Coturnix japonica: one gene and its partners. The protein of the gene in region 3 interacts with the protein of the main gene of each other region in a biochemical or structural test. Links are inferred from orthologs where the notes say so. Each region holds a gene or a part of one and is shown on either strand. Other genes may lie near its edges.

Region 1 (4,312 bases), on a different chromosome or scaffold from region 3:
GGGCACAGCAACAGAGCCAGTACAGCGCCCAATATTCCCCATTCTGAACAGACCTGGAAATCTAAATGACAATCAGTTCTTTCTTATTTTGCAATCTACAGCACAAATTCTGCACCCTTCACGTGGAAAACTAACGTCGAGAAAATGTCATAGATGCTTCAGTGAAAACCAACAGTATCAAGTTAGTGCAGGTTGCAGTGTCTGCTTTGCATGGGATTCCTAGCTGAACGCTGAATAATTCACAGATCTCTTTAATGTTATTAACACATCAGACTTAATATCATTAGCCAACATACTAACATCAACCTACCAGGTTTATGTAAACACAAGAAGCAATTTAACCTGTATTTGAGGTTTGTGTTTTTAAGATAGTATCTCATTCTACCAACGTGTGTAAGGAGTTAGAAATCAAAATTATTGAAGACTTCTACATATAGAATTACCATTAAAATTTGGTACTGAATTCACTACGTCAAGTGAAAACCTGTATCCCCCCTCTTTCAGTTTAAAACCATTCCCCCTTAGCCTATCACTATCCACCCCAGTAAAAAGTCGTCCTCCATCCTGTTTCTAAGCTCCCCTCAAGTGCTGGAAGGCTGCAATGAAATTTCTCCTGAACCTTCTTTTCGTAGCTTTCGGCTCCTGCTTTTTGTTGTGACATCTCCAGAGTGAATGCATTTCAATCCTCCTGGTACTCCCATTCTTTCAGAACCGGGTGATTATTGCAGCTGAACACAGCTTCCTCTTGGACAAAAAAAAAAGAAGCTTGGAAAATGTTATGCCTTCAAAGTCATGTGGCATCCACACAGACCTCCTTACAGCCACCCCTGCAGTCAGATTCACCTCCCTGTTGTGTTCCTAATGCCTCCTCTAAAAGTCAGCTGTATCTCTAGATCAATGATATAGCCCAGAAACAAGAGGAAGCGATTCTGATAGTAAACCGTGTGATGTTTCATTCAGAACATTGGTGAACACATCTGGATTTTAGCAATCATGATCCTACCACCTACACAGTAGAAGTACATGGTATAATTAACCCGGAGAAAGACTCTTTAGAAAGAAGAGACTGTGCCAGTAAGAAACATTATTCCACTTAACTCCATTCTTCAGGCAAAGATTGGTATTTGTTGGAAAACTGCATTGATCATGTCACTGCCAAGACATCACAAGCATGGATTACAGCGAGGTACGCTGTTCTAGATGTATATGATCTGCCACCATGTCACTTAAAACAGCTGATACTGAAAAGAAGGATGCAGTAGAAACTGAGTTATGTGATGCAGAAGCACATACTTACTAACCGTAAAATACAAGCAAGAAACCTTAAAATACAAGCTTCTCATGCCTGTCTACAACTGGAAGCAAATCACTTCATCTTGTTACTTTTAATTTGAATATCAGTCCTCAGTCAAACCTCACTCTGTGACAGTCTGAGCAGAGACTGCGTCACATCATTCAGAGAAAGCAGGAAAAAATATACCAAATGCTGCACTGGAAACATGCCACAGCCCTCGTTCCTTATTAACCTCACAGCTCCTTATGGATTCCACCTCAGTAATTAAACTGCACCCCTGGAAGTTGACCACCTCCATTACAGCGCTGCTACTCAACATCATTTCCTGAGCGCTCAGCCTGCAACAGACCAAAATACCAAGAGAAGTTTAACAAAAACACATCATCATACGAGCACATGACTTCCAACCAATACAGAGTTAGCGAGCACTGAGGCTCTGCAGGAAATGAAATCCTCTGCCAAAAAAAATGACTTCTCTGAAAAAGATAATCAAGATTTCATAAGAAAAATGTCTATTTTCCCACTGCCAACCAACAGGAGATGCCCATCCTGCAAGCTGGTGCTTTCACAGCTCACATGCTGCTGTTGTGAAGCTGGAGCTCGTTTATTTCACTTTCATAAAAACTCATTTTTTGCCCTTTTTCTAATGTCCGCTGTCTGATGTGACTGAGCACATCACAGTATCACACACAGCTGCAGCTCCCCTCACACCTCCGGGATAAACACACAGAGCTCTTTGGAGGCAGAAGACCTGCTCACAGCTGTGTGTGTTAACCTGGATCCACCTTGCCAGCATCCTCAGAATCATCCGTGTTTGCAATAACAACACCAGAACTTGGCTCGTTACAAAGTAATAACAAATGCCACAATATAACTGCACGAGCGTCACCAGCCAGCTGCTCCTCGGATCCGCTCTATCGCTACGGACCGAGCTCAATGACAGCCGGGACCCGCTGCTCACAATGGGACCGGCAGCTCCAAAGGCCGAGAGCGGCCGCGACGCGGAGGGACGATGCCGGCAGCCGGCGGGGAGAGCGGCGGGGCCTGGGCTGCACCGAGCCACCCTGAGCGCCGCGAGGAAAGGGAAGGAGGGAACGGCGAGTGATCCAGCACGGACAGGAGGAACGGAAAGTCGCGACATGGGCGATGGCAGCGGAACGAAACGGAACGAAACGGAACGAAACGGAACGAAGGCAGCGGAACACAACGGAACGCAGCGGAACGCAGCGCCGCCCGCCTGGAGCTCCGGCCGGGGCAGGCGCTGGGGGAGCGGAGCCGGCGGCAGCGGAGAACGGCCGCGAGCAGAGCGCTCCTCATCGCCGGGTCAGAGCGGGGCCGGGCGGCCGCCCCTCACCTGGTAGATGGCGGCCCAGCTGGCGGCCTGGTCGAGCCGGTGGAACTCCTTCTCCATCTCCATGGCCGGAACAACGCGCCCGGCCTGGCCCCGCTGCTCCGGCTCCAGCTGCTGCTGCCTCGGCCCGGGCTGCCCGCTCCGCATCTCACCCCGCCCTGCTGGGCCGGAACTACGCAGCCCGACACCAGACGCGACGTCCGGGGCGGCCGCAGCCGCGGGGTTGGAGGGGGAGCGAGATGTGTTGGTTTGGAGCCGGGAAATGAGTTACTGAGCTTAGGAACGTTAAAGCTTTAGTTTGCATTTCTGATAAAATTCAGCATTGTGAGATTACCTGCGTTAAATCAGCCAACATCATGAATAGCAATCCAGCTGCCTGCAAATACGATCCATGCTGCTGCTGTGCTGTCTGAGTGCAGCTCTGTAGTCACTAAGCCAGCTGTAGCAGGCGGCATCTCCAGCGTCCAACTGCTGTTAACTTGCTATTAACAGTCACCACACCTAATGCTACTGACTGTACGTATCTGTGCCATTAGTCTACGTTAACATCCCCTTTCTTGAGCAGAACTGTAACATTTTGTTATACAGAGCTGATCTTCCAGCGTGTCCTTTTGCTGTTACACCTCAGGCATTCCTAGTTCTGATTCTCTGTTTGGTTTTGGTTCAGCATTTGGGGTTGTTCATATGGAAGGTTCATTTGTCTTCATTTTGGTTTTTGCTAACAGTGCATCATGTAAGACTCAACAATTCAACTATTAGCCCTGGGTTACACTGAAGAATCTGTTGGGGAGCACTTCTGGCCTCTTTTTGGTGAGGATAGCTCTCCAAAACACGTTCGAGGTGATGGCATTGCTTCATTGCTGAGTAAGCCCTCCTGTGGTTTCTAATCCAGGTGAAGCAGGCGGTCCACTTGGCCTCACCTCCTCGTGAGAACAGACAATACCCTGCAGGCTGTGCTGAAGAGGAAACAAACAGAGGACCCTCAGAGTACAGGGGTGTAAGAAAGCAAGTGGCAGTTTGTCAGTGTACGGCAGCACATTTCATCCAACACACAAATACCAATCTCTGCTCCAGGGCACTTCAGGGCTATGACTGTGGGAAATGGCATCAATCCCTGGCTGCTGCAGGATCACAGCATTTTCACTGCAGTGATGCATCTCATGCAGGGCCATGCAAACCCAAGCCCTTGATGGAAGGAGTGCTGTGCAACAGCAAGACACGTGGGTTTAGTAGCCTATGGATATAACATGTGGCACAGGGAGAATCTATATCCTCAGAGAGACAGAGAAAGGGACTGGCATGGAAGTGGTGTGGATTGCCATGTGCTGGGTTGCCCAATCAGCTAGAGAACAGCTGCAGCCACAAGAGGCTGGTTTCACTGTGCAGCTGTGGCCCTGTAGAGATCAAGGCCACAACGTGAGTGGTTTCACATGGTGAAAAGGGATCAGGAGCAAAAGAAGCTGCAGACTGGAAACTGAACGTTGGTGGTAGTAGTGAAAAGGAGGTGCAAATGGAAAAATAGATATATGTTTCTGATGGTATAAAAAATCTAAACATTTTACTAAGAGCACAGATTTCCTGATGTGTGGTTATGTTCTCATACAGCTCATCAGGTGACATATTTTCCATGTTAATAGTTTGGATGTCACCATCTGCTTGCTATGACT
Region 2 (4,188 bases), on a different chromosome or scaffold from region 3:
GCACAAATAGTCACTGTGCGATGTACAAACACCGGGGATCTATTATTGGCACCTTTCCTTTGCTTGCCATAGTGACGTCCAACCCAAACGCAAGTGTTAATGCCCTTATAAGGCTCCTAGCACAAATTTAAATTCTTTATCCTTTGGCCGATGATACAAACTGCAATCTCAGTAGCATACGGCATGGGGAGGTGGGAGATTTTCTTGGCTCTGTGGTGAGGGAGAGAAATTAAAAAGGAGCCTACAATGCTGAGTCACTGTGACAAATAACTTACTATGGCATACATTCAGGGTTTAGCAAAGAGGCAGCTGAGAGTGAGTCAGTGACTGACTAGTGCCTCCTAGATTTTCCTCCTTGGGAAAGATTCAATCTAATGTAAAGAAGAGACGGCAAAAGTATTTCTCAGTGTTACCATTACCAAGCTGCTATCACTAATTATACACGTGGCTAAAACCATCAAATTCCATTGTGTAATACATGCCTTCTGTCTGGTATATAACATCGCCCATTATGGAGCATTACAAGTACTGGTTTTGAGAGACGGAAAACTTGGCCAAACTTCAAGTGTTTGGCAGTGTCAATTCAAGCACCTCCCGTCTTTTGGTTGCTCAGCTTCACAGTCTTCTCCGCATCCTATTTAGCACTTCGGTTGAGCAGTCTGTAGCACCATTTACACCAAAATAGATAGTTCTGTGATCAAAAAAGACTTTCCAAGTGCAAAATGGATGCAGTTTTGTGGAAAAACGTGTAAGAAGGTCACAGTCCATCAAAACACCTAGTCCCAGTAAAGTCAAATTTGCATGTGCTGAATCACAGCCAAAGCTATTCTTGTGTCGTCCTGGTTGTGATGTTTCTTTCCCCTTCTCCTTCTGCTCAGGCAGACAAGTTCTTGCCCAGCACCCCAAATCTGGGAAGAGAGCAAGAAAGCAGGTCTGCATAATATCCCCTCCCCTGACCCCAGGTCCCATACCTGCCCATTAGAGAGCAGAAACAATAGAAACAGTTTCCCTGCCAGGATGGGGCTGTTAGCAGCTTTTCAGCTATCTGTACACCCCCCACCTTTCCCTTCCCTTCCCTCTTAAAAAGCAGTTCTGTCACCAAAGAGCCAGGGGCTGCAGAGAGAGCTGCTTTAGCCAGTATCTCCATTTGTGCCTTGTTTCTCCTGTACAGAAAGGTATCGCTGAGTAAGCCCTGAAATTCCTCAGATACTATGCTAATTCATACATGATGGGGAAAGAATATAACTGCTCCTAAGCAGACCACAACCAGGTGGAAGGAATTTCCTATCATCCTCTTCCACCTGAGCCACAGGGTTCAGCCTGGCAATGGGAACATCTTGCCTAAAGTAATTCTGTTTGGGATGCTGCAGTCAGGCCATCCCTTCTGAGCACAAATAAAGGCAGAGAATAATCCATCGTTTACTCAAAATGTTAATTAGTGAGTGAATTATACTCATACTGTTCCCATCTGAGGACTGGCTGCTGAAGAAGTGTAATTAGATATTTATATCTGTTGTCTAACTTGTACGAACTCCAGCGGTCCAGTTGCTCACGAATGAGTTCATAAGGCCAGTCAATTATTTTTACATGATGCTTTTGTTTGTTTCTTAAACAAAAATGTCTTTCCCATCTCCCAAAACAAAGCTTTTCTTGAAAAATAGTGATATCATCAACAATTTCACTGTCTTTTTTTAGCTGAGTTCATCTCTTTCCAACACTGTGAGACAAAGGGCTCCCTTATTTCCACCATAGCCCTACTAAATGCATTACAAACCCCACAAGGAGAGCCCCCAGCATGCCCCAGAACTGCCACGTGATCCTAGGCAAGAGGGTACGGCTGAGATCCCCAAAGTCTTAAGGAAGATTTAGCTTTAAAGATCACACACTGACCCTGCTTTTAAGAGAAGCAAATCCCTATAATTTCGAGGGAAAAAACCACTCATGTTTTCCTTCGTGTATCTCTGAAAAGCAGCTCTCAGATCTGACCTTTCCAAAATGCCTATCAGTGATCAGCTGTAAAACAAGAGATCTCTGTAATATTTTTCTAATGCAGAGTGAACAGCAGCCAACTTCCCATAGAGAAGGAGGAGGATTTTCTCAAGCTAATTTTATTTCCTTATCTTTAGTCATCTGCTGAAAAGAAAACACTAAATATATTCCTCAGTCTACTCCTTCCAGTGATAGCTCGAAGGAGTAAAGAACCATATGCTCCTTCAGCTGATCCATACTGTCTCCATGACAATGCAGTTTACAAAGTTTGCTCCTAACAGCTCTGTAGTACGTGTTTCAGCTGCTCACATTTTTGGGCATGAGGATGGCTGGCAGTGGGGGCAATGGTGGCTGCCACTGCAGTGGTTGGGCATGTTCACCAGTAGCTTTGGTTGAGCAGCACTTCCACCCAAACACCCCAACCCCAAGACCAGTGCCCACCAGTGAGCTCCAGTTCCAGTGGTGCAGCTCAGCCTGTGGTACCATCTGGAAGCTGATGCAGCCAGTCCCTCCAAATTCCTTACGAGCTTTTATATGTGCAATGCCTTAAAAGGAGAAAGGATTTTACCTCATTTTAGCCAATCAGAAAATCCTGGTAAATTTACACAGAAAAAATGTGTTCTCCTCATTAAAGCGTGCTTTACCTTTGGGTAAGGTGGATCTCCTGGATCCTCCCAGGAGCACAGCACGCCCAGAGCTGGAGCTGTGCCAGATCTCTCCTCTATACTCCTCCAATCCCTTTGCATCCCTGTTTCACTTACAATGTACCGCACTGCATGTAGAAAATGGACTTCACCTTCAGCCAGCTCAAGCAGGACACCCAACTTACTGTGGCACTGCTGTGGTGGGCAAGAAACCTTATCCTATGACGTAACAGAACAGAAGCATTCACGAACAGGCGGCTTCTGAGCTACAGGCCATCAGTTGGCAGCCTCCACCTCAACAAGTGCAGAAAGACACGATGTTGTTATTTTCGGAGCCTGTGTGTTTCACTATTCCCCAATCGGCACAATAGCTGTCAGCATTCCTGTTTTGAATTTCACACATTTGCTTAATCAGAAATCAACAGAAATACATAACCAGTTACAGTGGTGTATGAGATTCAGTCCTTTTTTATCAAGGAGTTACCCAAGATATGGGTTGCAGATCAGGTTGTCTCCACACAATCATTTCTAAAAGTAACCCCAGTACACATTTAAGAGTAGAAATAAAAACTTCAGCTGGCTAAGATTAAAAAAGGAAAAAAATGTGTGTATACATATACACGCACACATATACGTCTGACACTCACTTTGAATTGTCAGGGTGAAACATTTAGAGATTTTTAAATTTATTTATTTTTTAAAAACACCCCCATCCCTGTAGAATGGCCTACACAGCTTGATCCCCATAGATTTACCAGCTGTTTTGAATTCCTCCCCCCGGCACTCATCAGCCAGAAGCTTAATCATGCTGAAAGGTTCCCACCTGCACCCCCTGCTACCTTTTGGAGCACAGAACCCAGAAAGGACCCCAGGGCTGGGGAGAACATCTTCCCACTGTTTGCTCCTTCACAGTGGCCAGACCTGGGACACAGCTCACGAGATGTCTCAGCATTCCTTTGACAACTACAGGTATACGCCAAGTTCAAATTATGCTCAACTGTCTTCTAGAAATTCAGGCCTCTATTCCCCCCCTCCTTGAATATACCAGATCTCTCCTGAATTCTATTTATGGGCAGAAAAGTGAAGGCTTGTCTAATTAGAGATGATTCTTCTCTTATTCCTTCACCCCCTATACCAAGAGCTAAGACAACTTCTGACAAAGACTCACATCTAGACTAGTTCCTAGCATTATGCAGTGGAGGGAGGTGAGCTGCACAGGAACAAGTTTCTGCAGAGAATGAAGACAGCTTGGAGTCACAGCTTCCTTTCAAGCCTCTGAAACCTATGGATTTATAGAGACTTGGCTCCCCTGCACATAATACCCCTCTTTCAGGGGGATAAAGGAGTAGGGCTCTGCTAATCTCTCCAGTTAGCAGGAAGGAACACAGGATCCAGCACACCACAAGGTTTGGAGGCACTACTCAAAGTTATTTGGTGCCTCTGGAGGATCCACAGGGACCAGCAACATAAAGGATTTAATGTGCACGCCCAAGCATCAAGCAAATGCTGTCTATTAAGAAGTTTAAGGGGAGGAAATACTTTCCAGACACACAAG
Region 3 (3,512 bases):
TGAATGTTAGCACATACATCTGGTGGCACAGTGGTAGGAATGCCGTTTTGCAACACCGGAGGCCTGGGTTCGAATCCCGCCCTGTGGCGCAAGTGGTAGAAGTGCCACTCTGCTACACAGGAGGCTCAAATCTCGGGGGTTGGACTCAATGATCTCTAAGGTTCCTTCCAATCCGCACGAGACTGTGATGCTGTGATCAGGGCTCCCTTTGCCGTCAAGATTCCTATCTGATGAAAAATAAAAGGAAAATGTAGGAAGAGAGGAGGTAAATGAAAGCTTGTGCAACTAGCACCGAATATTACACACATTTCTAGCTCAAGGGTTACTACTCTCACTCCTGTCCATGAAGTGTCCCTTAACAACTGCATTGATTCATTGCAGAGTGTCATTAACAATCCAGTGGTGAACAAGTACTGGTGACCATCCTTATCTTACAAAGCATCTTGAGAAAATCCAGCATTCTGACAAGGCTGGTAGGCTCCCAGTAAAATGATTCCAGTGCATTAATACACACAAACACCAAAACGTTTCCTATGGAGCTTTTGGAGCTGTATTAAACCTTCCAGTAAGCATTAGATGGAGCACTCAAGGTTGGGGAAGAATTACTCCCCTGCATATGATTAAGTGTGAACAGTTAGACATGGTATAAACAATTAAGTACACTCGGTCAGTGCAAACCCAGTGTAATCACTGGTGGTTTCATTTTGTAGGTCTGTCACAGATTAATTCTCCAGACAACAATCTGGAAAGTCATCATTCAGCTTCTGACTAGACCATACACGGCAGACCCAAGGAGGGCTGTTCAGAACCTCAAAGGCTCAGCTGTGTCTTCCAGCTTTTATCAGTGTAAAATAAAATTGCAATGTAGGATGTGGGTCTGCCTCTCCTCCACACTAACTAAAAGGGAGGTGGTAGGGAAACAGTCCTTCTTGGTTTTCTTGCTGTTCCAAACAAATTACTACAAAAATCTATATTTTCATTCACCCCCTCTGACATTTGCCTACCTCATCCTCCCTTCAGCCAAATTTGTGTATTTTTACTAACAGCTCTTTCCAATTTTGTTTCCTTTCCTTAATGAACTTTTAATTACTTAAAACACCTCACATCCATTATATCACCCTCATCACACACCCTCCTGTTTCTTCTTTCTTTCTTCCTGGACAACAAAATTCCTCCCTTGGTCTCAGAAGATGGACAAAATAACAAGGGACAGAGAATAGAGAGTGTGACTGACAATGAAGCAATGGAAAAATACAGTGTACTTGAATGAAGTGCTTTGAAAGACAATGACCATCCAGGTTACCTAGAACTTCTCTAGGTTCCGCCTTGCCCTTGTCATAAACCTCCACTCCATTGGGTAGAAGCTTTGTTTGAGTGCTCATGTGTAGGACTCAAGGACTAACAGAGGTATGAGCTGGTAAGAAGACACCACTCAGTACACTGTCACATGCTTGTGCCAAACCTCAGCTGCCTCTAGGAAGCACAAATGATTACCTATCTTCCATCCTTTTCTGCATGCAGTTTTTCTGTGGCAAGAGCTACTTTCTCTCTTTTCTTCTTCTTCTTCTTTTTACTTTTTTTCTTTCCAAAATTCAAAACAAAGCAAAACACTTATCACTCAAAAAATTCTGCCTTTATCTGTCAAGGCTTCTGCAAACTGTTACTGTTAAGCTTGAGCGTTCATTCCTAAGTGTAATGATGAAGATGCTAAGTGAACGCAGTCTTGATCAAATACAGAACAGAGAAACGCCCTCAGTCACAGCACAGTTCACTCTTCAAATGCAAATTAAGAAAGCCTAGCCTTTGGTGTTCACTGTTGTCCTTGAAAAAATAGAGCCAGTGATTACGATTCTGTGTATTTTTCCAAGTCCTGAAATGAAATCATACTTGTTTTACATGCACCAAGTAGCTTGAGGTGCCAAGTTTCCAAAATAACAAAATATAAGAGAAATATGGTTTGTATGTTTACTAATTACTATGTTTGCATTTTGAAAGAAGAAACAAAGAACAGAGAAGACATTTTTCAGCTGTTAGGTAAAACAACACTCAACAAACAATTATTATATCTACCTTCCTCTGCCCTGTCAAGCATCATCTGGACATCAAGGCAATCTACTCTCAGGCATCCCACAAACAATGGCACAGAGGTGGCATTGTCCTTTTATGAGCACCAGCACAATTAGTGTGAATAAGGAAGAGATCTTCATTTTATCTAAGAACTCACTGAAAACAAGTGATGTGAGAAGCAGATACAGAGAATGTAAAAAGATGCATAGTAGCTTATCTTACAGGATACAAGTCCAGCATTCACAAACTAACAGCTTGGCCATAGATTGCCTTCTGTAAGCCATAAAAATCTGATCCATTCCTCTGTTCCATTCATGAAGTCACACATGTGGGAGCAAATGCTGCTGACTCCACAACTTGCCATAAGTACATCACTGCAGTAAGCTGACCAAACAGGACTTCAGTTGCTAGCTCTCACAGCAGTTCACTTACCCTGTAGTAGTCTGTGCTGTACACATCTCTAGACATTCCAAAATCTCCAATCTTCACTAGTAGGTTCTCACCAACCAGGCAATTCCGGGTAGCAAGGTCCCGATGCACAAAGTGCTGTGATGCCAGGTAAACCATACCAGCTGCAATCTGCTGGGCAATATGAAGCATCTGGGACTGTGTCAGCTCAGCTGGTCGGTTGCCTTCTGCCATCAGTACTGCATCTGGTCCATGTGCCCTGCACCAAAATACAGGCTGATTTAGTGACAGGGCATTTCTGAAACGTAGAGGTGAAAGTCACTAGTGATCCTAAAACCAGAGAAGTGACTTACTCAAACATAAGAATCAAAAGTGTTACAGATTCATTGGTAAAACCAAAAAATTTCTCTCCTGGCTTTCTTTATTTACTGTTTTCCTTCACTATGTGAAAGACAGGTGATCTGAAGAAAATTATACAACAGGAATATATATTGTTCATAAGGCAGACTGGTTCAGAGCAACAGATGCCTGTCTCAGACCAACATTTCTCTCATATTACATCCTCATAACTTTAAGAAATAGTTATCAGCATTCCTATATACACTGTTAGCATCACCCAATCTCTAGCCAGTTAATGAGGCAAACATTCCTCATTTAATGCAATATTCTGAATAACACCTTCTATCCATTCTTCCCTTCTGGGTTTTCAGAAGCCTTTTTAATTCTGTTCATGCAAATTACTCTTTCCAAGAGACCATCTCTGTCATTTTCTCCCCAGCTATTTTGGAAAAAAATATTCTACAACCAGTTTTCAACCTTCCCTCAGAAGTCCTTCCTTCCTCCAAAGATGAGTTTCAGAGAATCACCTTTCTGATCAATAAAGGTGAGGCCTTAATTCATCCCTAAGGGAAGGGCATGGGAGTTTGGAAAAGAGTTGCAAATTAATGAAAATCTATGAGATCAAATCTGAAATTACCTATTAGGAATATGTTATTAAAATTGCCCCAAGGGAAGAACTTTAAAAGCAGAGTGACAGA

Evidence for each region. The genes of interacting proteins can lie anywhere in the genome.
Region 1: the proteins of NTRK2 (region 3) and PTPN1 form a complex in vitro, tested with the Homo sapiens proteins (2 studies listed by BioGRID, with this or other methods). The link is inferred for Coturnix japonica from reciprocal best matches to the Homo sapiens genes NTRK2 and PTPN1.
Region 2: the proteins of NTRK2 (region 3) and BDNF form a complex in vitro, tested with the Homo sapiens proteins (3 studies listed by BioGRID). The link is inferred for Coturnix japonica from reciprocal best matches to the Homo sapiens genes NTRK2 and BDNF.

Annotation. Positions count from the first base shown.
Region 1 is NC_029535.1:12,162,826-12,167,137, forward strand, and holds the start of PTPN1 (tyrosine-protein phosphatase non-receptor type 1), read right to left. Parts: upstream 2,813-4,312; 5' UTR 2,793-2,812; coding exon 2,649-2,792; exon of another isoform or gene 1-2,648. UniProt on the Homo sapiens protein: Tyrosine-protein phosphatase which acts as a regulator of endoplasmic reticulum unfolded protein response. Mediates dephosphorylation of EIF2AK3/PERK; inactivating the protein kinase activity of EIF2AK3/PERK.
Region 2 is NC_029520.1:3,109,640-3,113,827, forward strand, and holds the start of BDNF (brain-derived neurotrophic factor), read right to left. Parts: upstream 2,813-4,188; 5' UTR 2,758-2,812; exon of another isoform or gene 2,634-2,757; intron 1-2,633. UniProt on the Homo sapiens protein: Important signaling molecule that activates signaling cascades downstream of NTRK2. During development, promotes the survival and differentiation of selected neuronal populations of the peripheral and central nervous systems.
Region 3 is NC_029547.1:36,617,480-36,620,991, reverse strand, and holds part of NTRK2 (BDNF/NT-3 growth factors receptor), read right to left. Parts: intron 2,735-3,512; coding exon 2,500-2,734; intron 1-2,499. UniProt on the Homo sapiens protein: Receptor tyrosine kinase involved in the development and the maturation of the central and the peripheral nervous systems through regulation of neuron survival, proliferation, migration, differentiation, and synapse formation and plasticity.